Linked DNA regions of Arabidopsis thaliana. The protein of the gene in region 2 interacts with the protein of the main gene of each other region in a pairwise test. Each region holds a gene or a part of one and is shown on either strand. Other genes may lie near its edges.

The links. The genes of interacting proteins can lie anywhere in the genome.
Region 1: the proteins of DIS1 (region 2) and ABI4 interact in a two-hybrid assay, tested with the Arabidopsis thaliana proteins (one study listed by BioGRID).

What each region holds. Positions count from the first base shown.
Region 1 is NC_003071.7:16,795,252-16,799,736, forward strand, and holds ABI4 (Integrase-type DNA-binding superfamily protein), read right to left. Parts: upstream 2,335-4,485; coding exon 1,348-2,334; 3' UTR 996-1,347; downstream 1-995.
Region 2 is NC_003070.9:4,492,844-4,499,600, forward strand, and holds DIS1 (Actin-like ATPase superfamily protein), read left to right. Parts: upstream 1-2,080; 5' UTR 2,081-2,550; coding exon 2,551-2,597; intron 2,598-2,691; coding exon 2,692-3,151; intron 3,152-3,523; coding exon 3,524-3,670; intron 3,671-3,921; coding exon 3,922-4,014; intron 4,015-4,149; coding exon 4,150-4,269; intron 4,270-4,690; coding exon 4,691-4,801; intron 4,802-4,881; coding exon 4,882-5,007; intron 5,008-5,090; coding exon 5,091-5,189; intron 5,190-5,280; coding exon 5,281-5,361; 3' UTR 5,362-5,626; downstream 5,627-6,757.

The DNA of each region.
Region 1 (4,485 bases), on a different chromosome or scaffold from region 2:
TAAGAGAATAATATATTCTTAAAACTCTAATGGACATCTTGTATCTTTTTCTTTTTCTTTGTTTAGCGATCTTTTTTCTCTCATCGTTGTGTTGTTGTGGTTGAATGTTTTCTTTTGTGTACGTAGTAACTCTCTTTGTTTCTCGATTTTGTTTTTTTTGGATTCGGTTTGGTACTACTTTGCCAGATTTCAATAATACCAAGATATAGAGGAAAACAATAAAACTAAGCTTTATTCCACATTGTCTGGTGATCTTTCATAAACAACATTGTATGATTTGATTACCAAAATAATCGGTTCTAGAAAAGTTTATGTCAATCTCTATCTAGTATATGAATCACCATACCCATATTTGTGCACTTAAATTATTACGTAACCAAGATATAGAAAAGTGTTGTGATTTCATATAACAAATGAAAATATAATAATCTATTTTGTTGTGTTTTGTATATATAATTATTATAAATTAAATTAATTATTAATATTGAAATATTCATGTATAACCCAGTCAGATATGGGATTATTTTTAATTTAAATTTTGTATAATACTGTTAAAAGATTCGAAATATAATCATAAACAAAAAATAAAATTGATTTTTTCTTGTCAACTTCCAATAAACACCATAGTAAACAAGAAATCACAGGACAAGGGAAATACAGAAACGGAGAACTCTTTTTAGTCAAAGAAAGCTAGGATTCGGACAAAATCATGTCCAAACACTTTGAAGGATGATCGATACAAAAAATTGTAAACTTGAATATGAAGTGTTGGTGTGAGAATACCCAGCTCGAATAATGTAAATAATCTTCTCAACGACAACAATTATGCATCCAGTGATGAACACTTTTTGAAAACGTGTTTCTCTCCATAGTTTCTACATTGATGATTCCTATATTACTAAAACTTAATAGAGATATGTGTAAATATTCTCAGAGATAAACAAAATATAACTATATATAACCTCTGAAACTCGAACAACCAAACAGAAATTATCATATCCTATCAATAATTATATATTAAGGTAGGCACACTGTGAAGGAAGTGTTGAACCAATAAAATTCCCATACAACTTTCCACCATCTCCTCCGATTCTCTTCCACATATACATACTTTATTGGAACCGTAATCTCTTTTACGAATTCCTTGAAAATAAAAATCTTCAAAAAAATAATAAAAATACCCTCTTATTTATCTCTATAGGTAGTAAAAAAATCCTCCAAAATTTTGCATGCAGAGCTCCTCATAGAATGCAATCTCTTTGATTCCTCTCAACAATGAATCTCCAATGCTCTTGACCGACCTTAGGGATGCTCATCGTATATAATATGATCTTCCACAAAAACAAATTAATAGAATTCCCCCAAGATGGGATCAATAAAATCCCAAATACTCCCCCAATTATGACTATATTCTTCTTCTCCTCCAAAAGGCCAAATGGTCGAAGATCCATCTCCAACCATATAACCCGGATCCAGACCCATAGAACATACCGGATCAACCAACGGCGGTGGATGAGTTATTGATAGACTCGAACCCACCGAACCAGCTAGAGAGTTCAAATCCTCCATCGAACTATTATTATTACACCCACTTCCTCCTTGTTCCTGCCCTAACGCCACCTCATGATGAAACGAAGTCGAATTAGTTACCGGAACATCAGTGAGCTCGATGTCAGAAATCTTGTTATTGTTAGTATTAGAATGAAGATTCTGATACTGTTGGTGTTGGAATTGTCCCATCTGGACCATCTGATTTTGTTGTTGTTGTTGTTGAGGGAAAAAACCATAACTAGGGCATAACATAGAGGTCCCACCATTAAGGAAGATGTTGTTGTTAAAAGGGATACCGTACGGACCAAAGTTGGCTCCTCCTCCTACGGTGGCGGCGGCGGGGCGAGGGAGGAGAGGTCTTAGGGTTTGAGTGGAGGAAGAGGAGGTGGAAGGAGAAGAAGCGGCGGAGACGGAGGAGGAAGAGGAAGAGACGGAGGAAGGAGACGAAGGGGTTAAGTTGAGCTGAGCACGTGACCCGTATAGGTAAACGGCAGCCCGGTCGTAGGCACGTGCGGCGTCTTCGGCGGTTGCGAAAGTACCAAGCCACTTGCGAGTGCGCTTACGTGGCTCTCGGATCTCGGCGACCCATTTGCCCCAGCTTCTTTGTCGAACGCCACGGTAACGGAACTTGGAGTTGTCCGGACCACCTTTGCCTTTGCGTTTGCGTTGAGCGGAGGAAGTTGATGAGTCGGTGGTGGAATCGGATTGAGGATTATTATGGGTTAGGGTTTGGTTATTATCTTCCAGATGGTTGTGTTGATGTTGGGAAGCTAAAGGGTCCATAGATGAAGAAGAAGAAGAAGAAGAAGAGGAAGAGGAAGTAGAGAGAGAAAGAGAGAGATTAAAGAAATTGAGAAAAATAGTGGAGAGGACGAATCAAGAAGGAAGGGAAACTGAAGAGTGTTTGAATGTCATCGTTGTGAATGGTCGATTAGGGCGGTGCTTCTTTTATTTATACTTACACTCTCTTCTCACTCACTTCTTTTTTTCTTTTCTTTTTACTTACCCGTTTGTTTTCTACCAAAGAAGAAATTTGTGTTGTCATAAGTTACTTGTTACACATTGGAATGTAATCAAGGATATTATAAAAACATTTAATTGCTTTCTTTCTTTTGGGTAACTATAGCAAATCATGAGCGATATATAACAATATCTTGAAGTTGGTTCTTTTCTTTGATTGGATGGGTAATTGTGAGAAATACTCGCATGTTGAAAACACTCCAAGGCATTCAGATTTCAGAGGATTCAACCAGAGAGAACTGAATCAAATTCACCAAGGTTAGGAATATTGCAACATATATAAGAGAAATAAGCGTGTTCAAAAATATATATTAAGAGAAATAAGAAACGAATAATCTAAGATGGAACAGAGATATCATTTTTGTTTGTTTTTCTAAGTACTTGTCAATTTAAATTGTAACAAAAACATAGCAAAAGATAGGCAATTTAAAAGATTAAGAAGATCAAGTGAATAAAACAGTAGACAAAGATAACAAAGAAAATGATTTATGAGTTCAAGAATTAAAAGCATCGTTTAAAGTTGGCAAGCAATGAAACTAGAATAAATCATTACATAACGGCTAACGGGGGCTGATTAGCCATAAATTGTAGAGAATGAAACACTAATCAATGAATAATTACAAAGCGTGGCATGAATTACCCAATTTTGTTCAACTCTCTTGCAATTTAAGTGGTTAACAAGCATTAACAGATAAGTATACTAAAAAGGATCAAGGTAATTAATCTACCATTACCAACAACCCTAGTAAAAGATCTAAATGCATTTTTAATAGTGATCTTTATATTTTCCTCTATTTATAGAGGTGACTCTATTTTAAAGGCATTATGTTCAAATGGTCACCTCTAAAATAGAGTTTTCTCTATAATAGAGGAAGAAATAGAAATATTTACTTTTTGTCTCTATAAATAGAGATCTCTACAATTCATCTCTAATTTTTCTTCTATTTTTGAGGAAACTCTATTTTAGAGGTGACCATTGGAGCACAATGCTTCTAAAATAGAGGCACCTCTAAAATAGAGAAAATTATAGAGGTGACCATTGGAGATGGTCTAACCATATTCGCCCCTAATTTGGTTTTAATCTAACTTTTAGTGTTGAACTTAACCGAAGCTTCTATACTTGATGATTATGATCTTAGAGAAAAATTTAAGCTGTTGGGAAATCACCTTATGATACTATTTTTTTGATGTTTTATCTTTATACGTAAAATAAAATTGTAAACATAGATATAATTAAGGGATCGGAGGAAAAACATCTGGTACAACACGTATCATATTTTTGGACATAAGTAAAAACTAGAATCATATTTCTGGAGTAGTACTTGTTAAATTTTGGAGAAGAAAAATAAGTTGATTTGCGCACTCGGAGAGTGTTGCAGATCCATTGCCTGCTGCAGCCACTGGAGGGACAGAAATACAGATGCAGAGAGACACAGTAATTATTTTTCTGCTTTCATTACATAGATATATGTGTTCATTTAGTCCACTTAACACCATTCTTGGAAGACGACTTGGCTTCAGTCAAATACTTCGTCCGATAGATTTAGATTTTGGATACTACACCTTTTATTAATCTTAAAAAAGAATTATGTAGAAATTTAAAATACTCACATGTCAATGGATAAATAAATAAATATATTAAAAAGAGGAGTTATAGTGTAGATATTTATGTACGCTTCTTCTTTCTTTTTTTGTCATCATTTATGTATGCTTCGACTTTAAGAAATATTAAAAACAAAATATAACTGACATTTTTTATAAGAAAAGGAATTTTGAAAACAGAGAGAAGAGAAGAGAGTTTATTTTTTTGGTCGCCTAGAAAGACTAATCTACCGTATAGATTATGATGTTTGACCCACAAATATAACAAATGGAAGACCATTAACGTTTAGACTTTTTTCGAAATAAAAACTT
Region 2 (6,757 bases):
TTTTTGTTTTATGGATTAAAATAAAAGGAACCAAGTGTTTTACAAGAGATGTTTAGTTGTAAAGCCCATATAAGCCCAATAAGGATCAAATAAGAAGTTCCCCAATGTCGAGCCCAGTAGATGAAATGATAGTCCACATAATGGGATGAAGGCGAATGAGTTGATCCAAACTCTCACCAAATCGAGAACCAAGTTTGCATGCACTCACCATAGGAGTTTATTTTGTGTTTTATGTTTGACGTTCTCGGGGGTTTTGGCTATATAGAAAATAAGAAGATCAAACTAATTAACTATATTAAGAATTGAATCGCTTTCAAATTGATTTTTTTTAATTCCGTGTTTGATCAGTTTAATTTATCCTAATCAAATACTCATAACCCATATATGTGATATTAGAACATGAGGTGATGGTATACTCAACTGCTTACACCTACTAACTCCTAATTCTTAAAATTTGATTATCAATTACAATTAACGGTTTTAATTATAATGTTAAAGTCCATTTCAAATTCCAGTCACAATTTTTATTCCATCTAAAGTAATTTGATACAAATTTGATTTTGCTTCGAATATGGTTGTTTTGTCAACGGTTTTTTATATCAAATATAGTTTTTTTTCTCTTTTCAATGCAATCGGTTAGGTGGTATTTGATTTTTCCTTCAAATTGAATTTTAAAAAATTCATTTTGTTCTTGATGATACAGTTCAATTTATCTGAATTAAACAATCTTAACCATATTGAATATTAAAACATGAGTATTGTATATTTCATTATGATTACACCTCATTTACCCCCAAATCTCTTTAATCAATAAACTTGACATGATCATGAAAAAAAATCATTGTTTAAAAAAAAAAACTAAAACAATAAACAAATATTTGTTTTGATAGTTCGAATATAATACTGCTAATACATTGATGAGTATTTATAAGTAAAAAAACTTGTAGAATCTTAAAAATATATTTAGATCGTCCTTTATCAATAAAATTTGTACAAAATGCGCTTTGTAATATTTTTTCTTTACGGTTACATCTTTATATTTTATTTTTATTTTTTGCTAAAGTGAAAAAAATAGTGCATTCTTTAGAGCTTTGAAGAACGTTGGTAGATCAACAATGAGTCGTCTGGAAAACATGTCGGCAAGAGATGCTTACAGCAATGTGACTGATCTAAAAACGATAGCCAACAAATTCGTAAACGGCGAATATTAAATTGAAAAAACTAGTGAATTGAGTATCACATATCTGCGTTAACGAATTTAGTAATTTGTTGGACGAATGTAGTAATTCGTTAGATGAATGAGATCAATCAAGCCATTTAAAAAAATATATATTCATTCGCATTGTAGTTTTACACATACCACCTAACATTGACTATAAAAAATATATATGAAAAAGAAATCTGTTGCAAGGGAGACTAACCTAGCCCAACAATTTTTAAAGCTCTAGGGCAAAATAAAAATTCAGGACCTTATATTCATGTTAAAAAAAAAAATTTATATATTTGGGCATATTTATACTAAAAATTATTTTGTTTGGGTCTTTTGAAATTTTATTACCTTGAAAACAGGTCATACTTTACACTTAAATGCTAAAACATTGGGCTACATTTTCATTTTGTTATTTAAACGGACCGGTATGAGTGAGACATGCATGATGATTTAAGCTTATCTACTCAATAGGATTAGGCTGAGACTGATATGATTCCATTTTTCGAGACCGTGTGAACATAGTTCATGATAACTACTGTGTAGTAAAGTAGTAACAAGACTTCAATCTCAAGTTTTAATGGGTTTTGTTCGGTGGTTCAAGCGTCCTTATCATAAGTTTGTTTTTCTGTCTTCACTACACACATCTTAATATTGAGTTAATCCAATTAACAGTAGGCATATATCATATATCATATATCAGAACATTATTTGTGTTATGATTACCTTTTATATTATCAAAGTCCCTAGTTAATTTGGTTTGTTTACAAAGACGATTACAGTATATTATATATCCAAACAAAATTTGTAATGATGATAATCAGCCCAGTATGGTTCAATTCAATGTTATTGAAATTTGTTTGGTTTTTAAATCAGACTTGGTTATTGAGTCGGGTTGGAAAACCAAATTAACCACAGCGCATAAGGACGAAGCCAAAATTTAAAACAGTAGTTGTACATAACTTCATTTGTTTTTTATCGGAAAAATCTCACACGATAAAGTACCAGTCGACGACGGCGACTTTCTCTATGATCTGACCGTTTCGCTGAATCTCACGTGAATCTCTGATTTTCCGGGAAAATCAATTTTCTCTCATTGTCTCTCTCCCTACATTGTTTCTCATAGCCTACGAGAAATTACGTGGTAGCTTGTCGGAAACTCAACTTCCGTTGACGGAAGGCGCGAGAAAGAAGCAAGCTTAGGTTCGATCGGAAAATTCTAGGGTTCTCTAGTGTTTAAACGGTAGAGATAATCGATCTCTAATCGGATACTGTTTTGGATCTCCATTCACACCCTCTGGTGAGCTGATTTTGCTTTAGAGATCGCCGGCTTAGTTTCTCTAATGGATCCGACTTCTCGACCCGCTATTGTCATCGACAATGGAACTGGGTACGTTCAATGATAGGTTTGATTTGTTTATGCGCTTAACGTGTTCGATGAAATGCTGCAATTAGATTCATTCTTGTGTGTGTGTGTATTGCAGGTATACTAAAATGGGATTTGCGGGTAATGTAGAGCCATGTTTTATCTTACCAACAGTAGTTGCAGTAAACGAGTCGTTTTTGAATCAATCCAAGAGTTCTTCTAAGGCAACTTGGCAAACTCAGCACAACGCTGGAGTTGCTGCGGATCTCGATTTCTATATTGGAGATGAAGCTCTTGCGAAATCGCGGTCTAGTAGTACTCATAATCTTCATTATCCAATTGAGCATGGTCAAGTTGAGGATTGGGATGCTATGGAGAGATATTGGCAGCAGTGTATATTTAACTATTTGAGATGTGATCCTGAGGATCATTATTTTCTTCTTACTGAAAGTCCTCTTACTCCTCCTGAAAGTCGAGAATATACTGGAGAAATTTTGTTTGAGACTTTTAATGTTCCTGGGCTTTACATTGCTGTTAATTCAGTTCTTGCACTTGCTGCTGGCTACACAACATCAAAGGTATGTTACACATTTCTTTTCTCCAAGTATTTACGTTGTTTGCTGTGATGAAATGCTATGTATTAGCCTACTTGCTGTGATGAAATGATATGTATTTAAGTTGTTTGCTGGGATGAAATGATATGTATTTAGGCTATTAGTTGTTTAAGTTTGCTTGTAGACTGTGTGAATCCTTAAATCAAGTCATAATTATACTTTATTCAGTTTTGGTTTTAGGGACTGAGTCTCAAGAATAGGTTAGTGTAACCTCACCAACATTAGACAATTTCCGAGCTTTGTGGGATTTAGCAAATATTAAACATGTTCTCTTGTTTTTTGTTCTGTCTCGTTATGCTCGCCTCGCCTCTTAATTTGACTTACAATTCTTCTTAGTGTGAGATGACAGGGGTTGTAGTAGATGTTGGAGATGGGGCAACTCATGTTGTACCTGTTGCAGAAGGTTATGTCATCGGGAGCTGTATCAAATCGATTCCAATTGCTGGCAAAGATGTCACCCTCTTTATCCAGCAACTCATGCGGGTATGCACTAATTTATTATCTTAATATTAGTCTTGGTCTTCTTTTGTAGTTGGTTTTCATTCTTTCTCTGTGACATTTTAAGATTTTAAAGGCACAGAAGTTAAATGTGTTAAATCCAAGCTTTGAGTATGGTAGCTAGGCTTCCTGTTTATTTGTTTTAGATGTTGTGCTCATATGCTTAGAGAGGGTGTTTACTGGTTTAGATTAATGTATTAACTTCATGTAACTTCTCGTTTCAATGTTTACTGTAGGAAAGAGGTGAGAATATACCACCAGAAGATTCATTCGATGTAGCCCGTAAAGTGAAGGAAATGTACTGCTACACTTGTTCTGACATCGTAAAGGTAATCCTTAGTGGTGAATATTCAAGTCAGATAATATTAATATATACTCTTCTGAAAATTTATTACTGGCCTGTATGCTGAAATCGCTTGAAAAGAATATAGGAATATTGATAAAGAACATTCATATGGTTGCAGGAGTTTAATAAACATGACAAAGAACCAGCAAAGTATATTAAACAATGGAAAGGTGTAAAGCCAAAGACTGGTGCACCATACACTTGCGACGTGGGATATGAACGATTCCTTGGACCCGAGGTTTGTTACCATCTATCTGTTATAAAAAGTTGTAAGTTGATAAGATAACCAGAATCGGAGACTGGATATCTTTACTGGTGCATGAGTTTCTAGTATGTCAGTGAGCTGTTCATGATTTGTTATCGATTATAAGATATTTTCAGCACTCTGTTCTGATTACTGAACGGTACTGATATAAAACTATGCTCTCTCAGAAACTCAAATTAGGTAATTACTTAGTCCATTATGTTAACTGGAAGTCTGGAACTAATTCTTATCTAGTTAGAATTCAGCTGTCACTACTGGACCCATAGGAAGCTAATCTCCTTTGTATCTCTATACCAAGAGAGTAACTGGAAAGTGGAACATAATTTCCTTTATTGTTCTTGCGTTTTTGTTCTGCTATTACCGATGAGTAATGTTGAGATTTTGTGTGTTACAGGTGTTCTTTAATCCAGAGATATACAGCAATGACTTCACAACTACTTTACCAGCTGTGATAGACAAATGTATTCAGTCTGCACCAATTGACACACGAAGAGCTTTATATAAGGTTTGAAACGCCAAAGACTGGTCAGAGTTTTAAGATAATTTCCAATCCGCAATACTGATGAATTTGTGAAATCATTTCAGAATATAGTGTTGTCCGGAGGTTCAACTATGTTCAAAGATTTCGGAAGAAGGTTACAAAGGGACCTCAAGAAGATTGTTGATGCTCGTGTTCTTGCTAATAACGCTCGTACTGGTGGTGAAATTACGGTAAGAAAATTGTATGATATTCTGGAAAATAAAAGTGATAACCAGTTTTCTTAATCTGAGGTGATATTTATTTATAACCACAGTCTCAACCGGTGGAGGTTAATGTCGTGAGCCATCCTGTCCAGAGGTTTGCAGTTTGGTTTGGAGGCTCTGTGCTTTCATCAACTCCTGAGTTTTTCGCGGTATGCAAACTAGTTTAGAGATCCGCTAGTTTGAAGCTAAACCTCATGGCTTGATCGTGTTTTGAAACAAGATGTATTTTTGTTGTTGCAGAGTTGCAGAACGAAAGAGGAGTATGAGGAATATGGAGCAAGCATATGCCGCACGAATCCGGTGTTCAAGGGAATGTATTGAAGCTGCTTCATAAATAATTCACCAGCAGATTCTGTGAATGTTTGTCTGCTTTACTCCATTTCTATTACTGACTTTAGGGTTCTTGAGTACACACAGTGTAAGCTAGGCTTGATGTAGAAGTCATATTATTATTCAGACAAATTAAAGAAAAAAAGTATGTAGAAGTTTGATTTTTTTTTCATATTATTTTCTGTTAACTCAAGCATTAAATTCCACAGAAAAGTTCCGGATTATCAATCGTCTAATTGTCAAGTTATCATTTTTTATAAGCTTTTATTCCACTCAAGAGCTTAAGTTCTAGATGAAACACATGATAATTAAGTTTTGTCTACTTTATGATGTGTTTTATTTTTTATAAATTAGTTAATAATATTTAAAATTAGACATGAATAGATAAACCTTCTTTTGGGTAAAATACACAAAATCATTTTCTTAAATTACTCAAAACAAATATCTTTCATTACTCTTTGGTTTTGGAGTAATGTAAGATATTCTGTTGTTAATAATAAAGGAAAAAACTTTCATGGGAAAAAAAAATATATATATATATCTTTCATATGTTCTACAAAATACATTATTACATTTATAGCTTGTTGTATAAACGCACTAAAAAAACATGTAAAAGAAAAAAGTTTGTTAAGACAAACTGTTGACATCACGGTGAAGCTCTTCTTTCATTTTTTCTTCTTCTATCGGATAAGAAAGAGAACATCCCGAGTCTCGACGAATACGACTCTCTTCCTCCGATCTCATCAAAAACTCTTTCGCTAAAGCTCTGTTTCTGGGCGTTCAAACAATTCCGGAGTTTGTCGGATTCTCAACTTCCGTATACGGAGAAGGTCGAGCAACAAGTAGTCAAAGTAAGCAAGCGTAGTTTTTTCTCTCTGTCTTTTTCTTTCCGATCCTCAATTTCACGAGGCAATCAATTCAATTCTATTCAATTCGATGTTCTTACTCTCTCGTTGAACTGTAACTTTCCTCGTAGATCTAGTTTGTTTCTTTTCCGATTTTGTAAGAACCCTAATGTTTATAGATTTCTCGGAAAGGGTTAAAATTTGTGTAGCCCCTTCATTGTAAGTCACACTATGTATGTAATTTGATCTCTTCTATATGTATTTATGAAATCTTGTAACACCCTTGTTTAAAAAATCGAGCTAGATCCCAAATTTTTCAGATCTGTAATCTAAAGTTCCTCTTTTTTATTTTAATTCGGACATATTGATAATGGCTTGTAACAAAGTCTCAGCCTAATTGAATTGGCAGAGTTGTAATTTCTTTGAAAAGATGTATTTTTTTTTTAAGTTGGTCATGTAAAAAAGCAAGCAAGGATATTGTGTAGAATGTTGTTATTTGTAATTTTCTGTGGAAGGATGTATTGTTACAGTTTTTTAATCTT